2 linked regions of the Bombyx mori genome follow. The main gene of each other region encodes a partner of the protein of the gene in region 2 in a complex. Links are inferred from orthologs where the notes say so. Each region holds a gene or a part of one and is shown on either strand. Other genes may lie near its edges. The genes, in order: E3 SUMO-protein ligase NSE2 and EP300-interacting inhibitor of differentiation 3.

Evidence for each region.
Region 1: EP300-interacting inhibitor of differentiation 3 (region 2) and E3 SUMO-protein ligase NSE2 share a complex: the UniProt entries of both Homo sapiens proteins name them as parts of the SMC5-SMC6 complex. The link is inferred for Bombyx mori from reciprocal best matches to the Homo sapiens genes EID3 and NSMCE2.

The regions. Positions count from the first base shown.
Region 1 is NC_085128.1:13,903,170-13,907,584, reverse strand, and holds E3 SUMO-protein ligase NSE2, read left to right. Parts: upstream 1-1,547; 5' UTR 1,548-2,280; coding exon 2,281-2,472; intron 2,473-2,800; coding exon 2,801-2,960; intron 2,961-3,596; coding exon 3,597-3,652; intron 3,653-3,933; coding exon 3,934-4,054; intron 4,055-4,213; coding exon 4,214-4,320; 3' UTR 4,321-4,364; downstream 4,365-4,415. UniProt on the Homo sapiens protein: E3 SUMO-protein ligase component of the SMC5-SMC6 complex, a complex involved in DNA double-strand break repair by homologous recombination. Is not be required for the stability of the complex.
Region 2 is NC_085130.1:15,844,551-15,848,840, forward strand, and holds the start of EP300-interacting inhibitor of differentiation 3, read right to left. Parts: upstream 3,096-4,290; 5' UTR 2,869-3,095; coding exon 2,793-2,868; intron 2,224-2,792; coding exon 2,113-2,223; intron 1,273-2,112; coding exon 1,154-1,272; intron 1-1,153. UniProt on the Homo sapiens protein: Tissue-specific component of the SMC5-SMC6 complex, a complex involved in repair of DNA double-strand breaks by homologous recombination.

The sequences.
Region 1 (4,415 bases), on a different chromosome or scaffold from region 2:
ACACTCAATTGATTCGTATGGATGTTTTTTTAAGTTAAGATATTATTTACATATTAAAAGTATATTTATCTAAATATTTGAATAGCTAAATAATATTTATTGCAGTCTGTATGAATCTGCAAATGCCTTATAGATTGAATGTAAGTATGTAATTATTTTAACAATAAACTTTAAAAGAGACGATGTTTTTTTTTTTTATAAGCCCTCAATGTACTGCGTTCACCGTGTATCAATACAATCGCGTTTTAAAAAAAACTTCCAATCTTACCTTTTATACGGCACTTAACATATAATAGTTGAGTAGGAAATAAATACCTTTATGGAGACTTATTTACAACGATCATATTTGAGAAATCAGTAAAATGTTTTAAAGTGATGCGTATATTTATGTATCTTATTATCCAAGCAAATATACAATTTGGTTAAACTTTCTTTTATGGTCCGTCGATTTTTGGGTCGGGGTGGGAGGGGGGTAAGGGTTTACCCCTGCACCATTCCCACCCCGCGGAACCCCATGGTTATGAAGATATTCACGGTTAATGTTTTGAGGTTAGAATAGCACTATTTAGTCAAAATAGGGTTAAAATTTAGATGAGGGTCCATTAATTTTTGAGTCGGGAGGGAGGGAAGTAAGGCCTAACCCCTGCACCATCCCCACTCCGCGGAACTCCATGGTTATGAAGATATCCACGGTTAATGTTTTGAGGTTAAAAATAGCACTATTTAGTCAACATAGAGTTAAAATTTCAATTATGGTCCATTATTTTTGATTCGAGGAAGGAGGGGTGTAGAGCTTACTACTGCGCCGTCACCAAGCCGCAGATCCCCATGGTTAATTTTTTTGATAAAAATTGCATTATTTAGTCAAACTCGAAGGGAGCTTAAGTTTGAATCCGTCTTATCTCGGGCGCTGCGGGAAGAGCAATCCTTCCGCCCTTGCGTGCCGAAGCACGGTCACTCGTGCTCTGCTCCGCACTGTTTCCGTGCTCCGTCACAGCAGGCGAGGACTGCTCTCCCTCCGCGCCTCCGGTATTTTTAAAAACACTCTAGGGGTAGGGCAGACAAGACCAAGTGGAAAGTCGGGTGCTCTGATTCGGTTTTCGATATTTTTCGAATATTTATGCAATTTTATTACCAAAACACGAGCAATTTTACTATTTTTTATTTAATAGTAATAAATAAAAAATTGTAAAAAAAAATATTTAATAAAAATAATAAAAAAATTATTTAATTATAATATGTATTTAAAAATATATTTTATTACAGACAGATAAAAAGACGCTATAAAAAAATGCGTCATTTCACGTTCCGTTCCACAGTGTAAACAAAATTTTGTTACTTTTTGTGTAAAAACGTCAATATAATTGCTTCTTACAGCAACAATTGCTGTGCACACTAATTATAAACAAATTTACTATGTGAATATATTAAAATAATAAAATAAAAATAAGATAATAATATATTTCGGTAAAAACATGACATCAAATTTTATAAAATACACGTTTACCGTGAACGGAACGTAAAACGTCAACTATGACTTGACGATTTTTCTAATTTATATGGAAACTTTAAAAATTGTTAACTCGTAAACCGTACTTCTACCGTCTTCGCAACTTAAAATTTTGCAAAAAGTTTTTTATTTAGGAGCACTATATACAAAAAAATTGTGAACTTCGAAATCGACGGACCACAAAGGAAAGCTTAGCCTAAATTAATTACAATCTGAGGTAGGCAAAGAATCTGTACTACCTGTTGGTGGGATATTGCCTCCGGACCCGGCAGACTCCGAACATGTTCAGTGTATATAATCTCTGCTCCGAACTACTGGGGTATCTCGATACACTAGCGGCACCGCCTCGGCGGCCTTATTGGCAACCGTACTCAGGTGATTAGTGTTTCAGAACCTTTATTTCGCCTCGAAGACTCCGTTGGACGGGAGTCCTTGGGGTAAGGTGCGTCTGGTTGCAGTGTTAACGCGGTAACCTCATGACCTGGCCCTGGTTCTGACCTCGAAGGGGATAAGACGCTTGGAAGAAAGTGTTGGGGAGTCGCTTAGTGGGTAGGGCCCTAAATACCATCATTGGGCCCGAGCCCACTCACACAAACAAGCCTCTTTCAATTTCCGAACGATAATATGGCTAACAAAAAAAATCATGAATTTGAAATTAGAATACAAATAGTGTATGTGCTATGCTTCCTTTGCCTAGGCAATCCCTAATAAAGAAAAAAGCGTATTCTTTCATAAAATTTTATTGTTATGACATTTGAAAATTTGAAATTATGGCTGATATAGACATTCGAGATCTGAGAAAGCAGTGTATTCAAAGCTTAATCTCGACTGCGGAAAATGTCGCTAAATATTTGCAAGAGGACAAGGAAGACAATTATGAAAAACTTAAGATGTACATGGAAAACTACTGCTTATTGGAAATAGAACAAGAAGTTGCTGAGCAGGTTTTAGAGGCAGCAAAGGTTTGTTGAAAAAGTACGATTTTATCGTTTTCAATTTAAGTAAATTCTATGTAACAACAAAGCTAATAATAAAAAAAAAAACTAGTTGTGTGTAATATATACATAATATTTCAAAATATTCAACACGTTTGCAACATTTTTTCTGAAACAGAACATAGTATAACATAGAACAGCATAGCGCAATTAATTCGTTTGTACATATAAATAACGATAATGTTTTTAGCGAATCATTATTACTTCATTAGCGGAAAAACATAGGGCAATCTTTTACATTTTTTATAAAATACTAAGAAATTAAGAATCTAAAAATTCTTCGTTTAAATTCTAGGCAGATACTAACATATCAAACATAAATACACTCCAAGAAAGATTCGAGGATGGCCTGAAAACTCTTTCACAGAACAGAATTAATCCTAACAGCCATAGATACATGCAAGAATTAAAGACTAGATATGAAAGTGGATTACAAAGTGTATCTTCATCAGGACGTGAGTATTGGATCTAAATATAGTTTAATATGATATTACTGGGTAACCAACTATTCAGTATTATGAGTAGTGAAACTCCATTCAACTTTCAAACAATACCAAAATATGAAAATAAACTACCAATCAGTATTGACATGAATTGAATTCTGTTTTTCTTAAATGGAAGTTCATCTTTATAATAGAATGAGTAGGTAATTAATTTCCATTTTTTATTTGTAACTAGGGAATTGTTACTACTATAAGATTATTTATAAATATATTGTAATTCAGGATAGGCTTAAAACAACTATTTCCTTAACACAAACAAATAATTGTTTTTTTATCTCGCCATTGTAGGCATATGGGCCATGGTTACCATCACTCATGATCGTAAGCAATACCAGGGGCACAGCCAAGATACTGCCAAGCTGCAACTGCTGAATACTCTATGCACACATCATTTGAGAGGGATATGACATAAGCACTCAGGAATGCTGAAGAATGCTGCGAAATCGGGGACTTGCTGCATTGACTGACTTTAATGTTAATATTATTTTTTATTTCTTTCTTTTGATAATCAGCTCTGCTAACTTTCTGAATATATTCAGGAAAAAATTGCACCTTGCCAATGTGTAAAATTAATATAAAACACTTTAGTTACAGAAAACCTGAATGAATCTGATATAGCTATTGTCCAAACAAATGAGCAGTTTGTAAGTATTATTCCAATATAATTGTATTATTTTAATAGGTATAATTTGATGATATTGATTTGTAAAGAAATAAATAACCTGTATATACACTCACCTATATAACAACCATAAAGCTTGTACAGTAATTACTCAAAGTTCATTCAGATGTGAAAAATATCTCAGAAAATGAGATTCTCGAACCTCTATAAAAGCTTCTTTTAGTCTATCTGAAACTTCAGTTTTATTTTTAATATGTAAAAGTTTCCACTAGATTTTAAAATTTTAAAATTTTCGATTTTCAGCTAGATCCAATTACCAAAAAACATATATCAGATCCAGTGAAGAATACAATGTGTGGCCATGTGTATGAAAGAGAGACTATTTTGAATCTCATAAGAAGGAAGCATAGAATCAGATGTCCAGGTAATTCTTCATTTGTTATAATTATCTCATCAGTCTAGTGATCGGTGATTCGAAATATTGTATTCTACAGTTCAGGTTCAGTCGTTGATTAGGTGATTGAAAATAAACTTACTTTTGCTTACAACCACCACTATTTAATTTTACAATTTTACTTTGCAGTTGCGGGATGTGCCAATCCAGAAAGCATTCAAGAAAACCATCTATTGGAAGATGAAGAATTGAGATTTAGATTATCATTGTCGCAACACTCGACCATGATACATTAAGTTCATTTAATAATATAATAAATGTGAATTGACAAAAAAGGGTATTTGTTTATTTTATTTGGTTGTTTATTATCAGGAAATTAAAATGAAATACA
Region 2 (4,290 bases):
ATTTATGAATATTTAAAAAAAACTTATATTAAAAAAAAGACATGCCCGCTGAGTTTCTTGCCAATTCTTCTCAGGATGGAGGCTAGTTTTTGTGAATTGGCGGTAGTTCTTTTGACGTTCAACAAGTATGTACTTTCATTTATGTTGAATTAAAAATTTTTGATTTGATTTGATTTACAGCGGGTTCACTGTATTGTTGTTCGGAAGTTGTATAATATATGCAAGCTTATCTTGAAAGTGTCGTAAGCAAGAATCAGGCATCTGTCAAATATCTTGGCTACCGATACAGACGGTTCTAAACTTGAATTGTATTATTACAATATGAAGACAAGGAGAAAGGGGGGATAGAGGTAGTATTTTTTATGGATTTAATTATGTAGTTTCATCATTTACTTCAATAGATTAAATATCAAATACATCCTAGTCATCATTGGCTATTAGAAACAGCATTAGACAGCTAACCAAAGATTTGTCTGGAGTGTTATAATATATTGAAGCCGCTTGGCTTGCAAATGTTAAGGCTTAGATAATGCTGATAAATCTTTGTTTAGGGAGCCATATATTACAAACCAAGAGACTGAAGGTTAGCTAATATTCTTTTAATAATTTTGTAACAAGGCAACGCAAAGCAGGTGTATTTGTTTTGATTTCCGTTTAAAAGAATATACATTAATTAAAGTTGAGTAAAATGCTTAGGCTGTTATTCCCTTTTTGGCTTCAGAAACAGTTCCCTTCTACTTAATTTAACACTATTAATGCTATAGAAATGTGACGGTGAAGAAATAACATCGTGTAATAAAAATCAAACCCGCAAAATTATAATTTGCGTAATTACTGGTGGTAGGACCTCTTAAAAGTCCGCGTGGGTAGGTACCGCCACCCTGCCCATTTCTGCCGTGAAGCAGTAATCCGTTTCGGTTTGAAGGTTGCCTGAGCCTTTGTAACTATACTTGAGACCTTAGAACTTATATCTCAAGGTGGGTGGCGTATTTACGTTATAGATGTCTACGAGCTCCAGTAACCACTTTACGCCAGGTGGGCTGTGAGCTCGTACACCCATCTAAGCAATAAATAAATAAAAAATGTAGAATGTACAATATCTTGAATTACTAGAAAATACTGTCATATAAATTTAACTTAATATTTAACTCACAATGTGCTGTGCTAATTGGTTCTTGTCATATAAATGCATGTTCACATCAACTGTCTCGAGGCACATCTTCGCTAGGTTCGAAGATGCGTGGAGGACCCGAGCGTCCAGCAATCCCTCACCTGCAGAATAATAGACTCAGAACTATTCTGGAAACTGAGCAGCTTGCAGAATTTTGTTGATCTTTCTTACTTTCACTACTCGAGTTGTACTAGGTAAGTTAATTTTGATTGTAATCTCACAGGACACAAGTCCCGCTTGATTTATGTCAGACATAATTAGTCTCAGTATAGTGTATTAATATACAGTTTATAACTTATCAAATTTAACTGATTTTATCTCCTTTAAAACTTAGTGAGTTATCAATGAAATGTGCTAAAAAGATCTAATGTCATGGCTTCATTAACATGAGTAGATATACTGACATATAGGAGTTTGCTTATAGGATGCAGAGACATCTTAAGAGCACTGCACTTTGTCCCAGTCTATAGATCCCGGCAGACACACATTTTTTTTTCCTACCTAAGCTGAGAGCCTTGAGAGGCTATATCAGCGTAGCTTTAACTAGTAGGTGAGCTCACGGGGCTCAAACCTGATGACGTTGCTAACACGAACCCTAGCAAGTATCGTGCTTCGCAGAATCTACCACCGAATGAGAAACGCAACCCACTGAGAAGATCCGGCAAGAAACTCCGTGGGCTGTGTCTGAGGGTTAATTTACTCGTCGAGCCCTTCGTCACAAGCGACGAGTTCGACGAGAGTGATGACCGGTGCTTGAGGTACCTAGAAGCACCATTAGTGGATCGGGACGATCCGAAATGACGTGTTTGGGGCGACGTCGACTGCTTTCCATGTCTGCAGAATCGGGAATCTGTCCACAGGATCGGGAATGTGAAGACACAAAAATAGGCATGTGTACCACTCGATACATCTTAGAAAATTAAATATTGAACATATCATACCAGGATGTTTGCTGCGATGGTCAACACCTCCTTCCTGGACCAGTTGCTTTGCCTCTTTCACAACTTTGTGTGTAACATCTAGACATTCTTGATTGCTCGCATTTTGATCTTCTGTTTGAACATAAATAAAAGATTTTAAGTTAAGGTATATTATTATATATCTGAAAAAAAACTGCAATGCTAATTATGAAATATTGTAATCTTTAAAAGAGTTTCAGATCAGCCATGTTGGTATGACATCAGTCTGGTTCCCTGTGGATTAGAATTAGTAGCAGAAAAAAGATGATTTGAAGTTAAATCTTGCGTGGTATGCTGAAGAAGGCTATAAAACATTCCAAAGGACAGAAATATTAAATTAAAAATATTTATTAGGTAATTAATAAATTATCACAAAATTCTGAGGGCAGGCGTATTCCCTTAGCTTTCGATTTTCAAATATATAAATGTACAGGTTGGATTGTCCAGTCTGTACATTACTGTAAGATAATTATCTCCCTGCTTCATTACTTATTTTGAGGAAGCGATTATGAATATTTAGTGTGTGTTATTTACAGTTTTATTTAATACCCAGGTCCCAAAAAGTTTTTAAAGCCCACAATTCTATAGAAGTTCGGCACTAAATGTAACACTTACTTGTACACTTGCCGAGGTTATTTGTAAAATAAATATTCGTATCTTACCTAGAGCAGTTACAGTTTCGTACATACTAATGTACTTGCTTTTCCGCTGAGATGAGTTTAATTCCGCGGTACTCATTATTACGAACTTTATTAAAGAAAATGTACCTACTTTATTTATAATTATTTAGGGGTAGATATGAATTGCAGTTAATAAGCTTAGGTTACTGATTCAATAACGTCGTATGCACAGAATGAGAATAATATTACTTTGAGCGAAGGTAGTATGTAATGTACAATTAATACTTTTTAAATTCGTGATTGTTTAAAACAATAGAATAACTTCAACATTCAACTTTCAAATTCATTTGTTGGGATTTTATGACCTGGTAACTAGGACCTTTAGGTCATGTCATATTTTATTTTATATTCTTAATTTTATAAAAATGCTAATATAGAGTGAAATTAAATGAAATAAATGAAAATGATTAATTTGAGACATTAATGAACTGGAATGAAATGAAATGAGATGAGATGGCATGGGATGGTGTAATTAATGAATAATGGGTAAAATGGTGGTCATTTACCGAGGATTTTTCAGTGGACTTTTTGGAGGATTCTGAGAAGCTACGTCCAATGGGTTTGTTTCATTTTCCCACATTTGTGCACTTTCACAGATATTAAACAGTTAATAAACCACCGCTATTACACATTTAAACCCGAAGAAACACTAAATAGAGAAAATAAAACAACACACAACTTCACTCCTCGCGTTCCCGCCAAAAAGTTCTTTCAAATTCAAATACAGTCCATGGCATAATTAATATATTAATTTAAGAGTCCATGCCTCCATGGTTCGTTTTCGCAGTTGACAAGATTAATCTACTTTTTGGCGGGAGAACAATTGGTTTCTTGGGTGATTATTTGTTGCCAAGATTGAGTTTGTAAAAATCTTCAGCTATAACATTTTGTGGAGGGTAGATGTAAAGTACACCATCCCAGTATTAAAAAGTGTCCGCTGAACGGAAGCTAATTGAGATAGCGCCGTAGTAGCAAGTGGATCGATTAAAAACAGCGTCATAAATTATGAATAATTATTATAGTAGGATTATTATTAATATTATTAAGGAAAGAAACACTTCCTACGTAAATAGTGATAAAAATATTGAAGTGAAATTTTAAATACTGCACAATTTTTATCTAACTACACAAGTCACGAAAAATATAAAATTTTTAGCCCAGCTCACTTTACTCTGCTTAAAATTGCTATATACATATAATTTCCATTTTCTACCTAAAGCGCTATATTGGTTTCGGTTCGGTAGTTTGCTGTTTACACTTGGGTACACTTTTTCAACTTTTTTTTAATCGATGTTCATTCCAAACTCCTTACACAGAAATCCTTTAGAAACAGTTTCAATTATTCGATTCCTACAATTAGGTATATACATATCGCCCTTAGATCATTGAAATGTTTAATCCAAAATTATCGTTTTTTTGTAAACTCCAATTTAATGTAATGGAAGAAGAAAGAAGATTTCAATATTTGAAGGTATGCGCT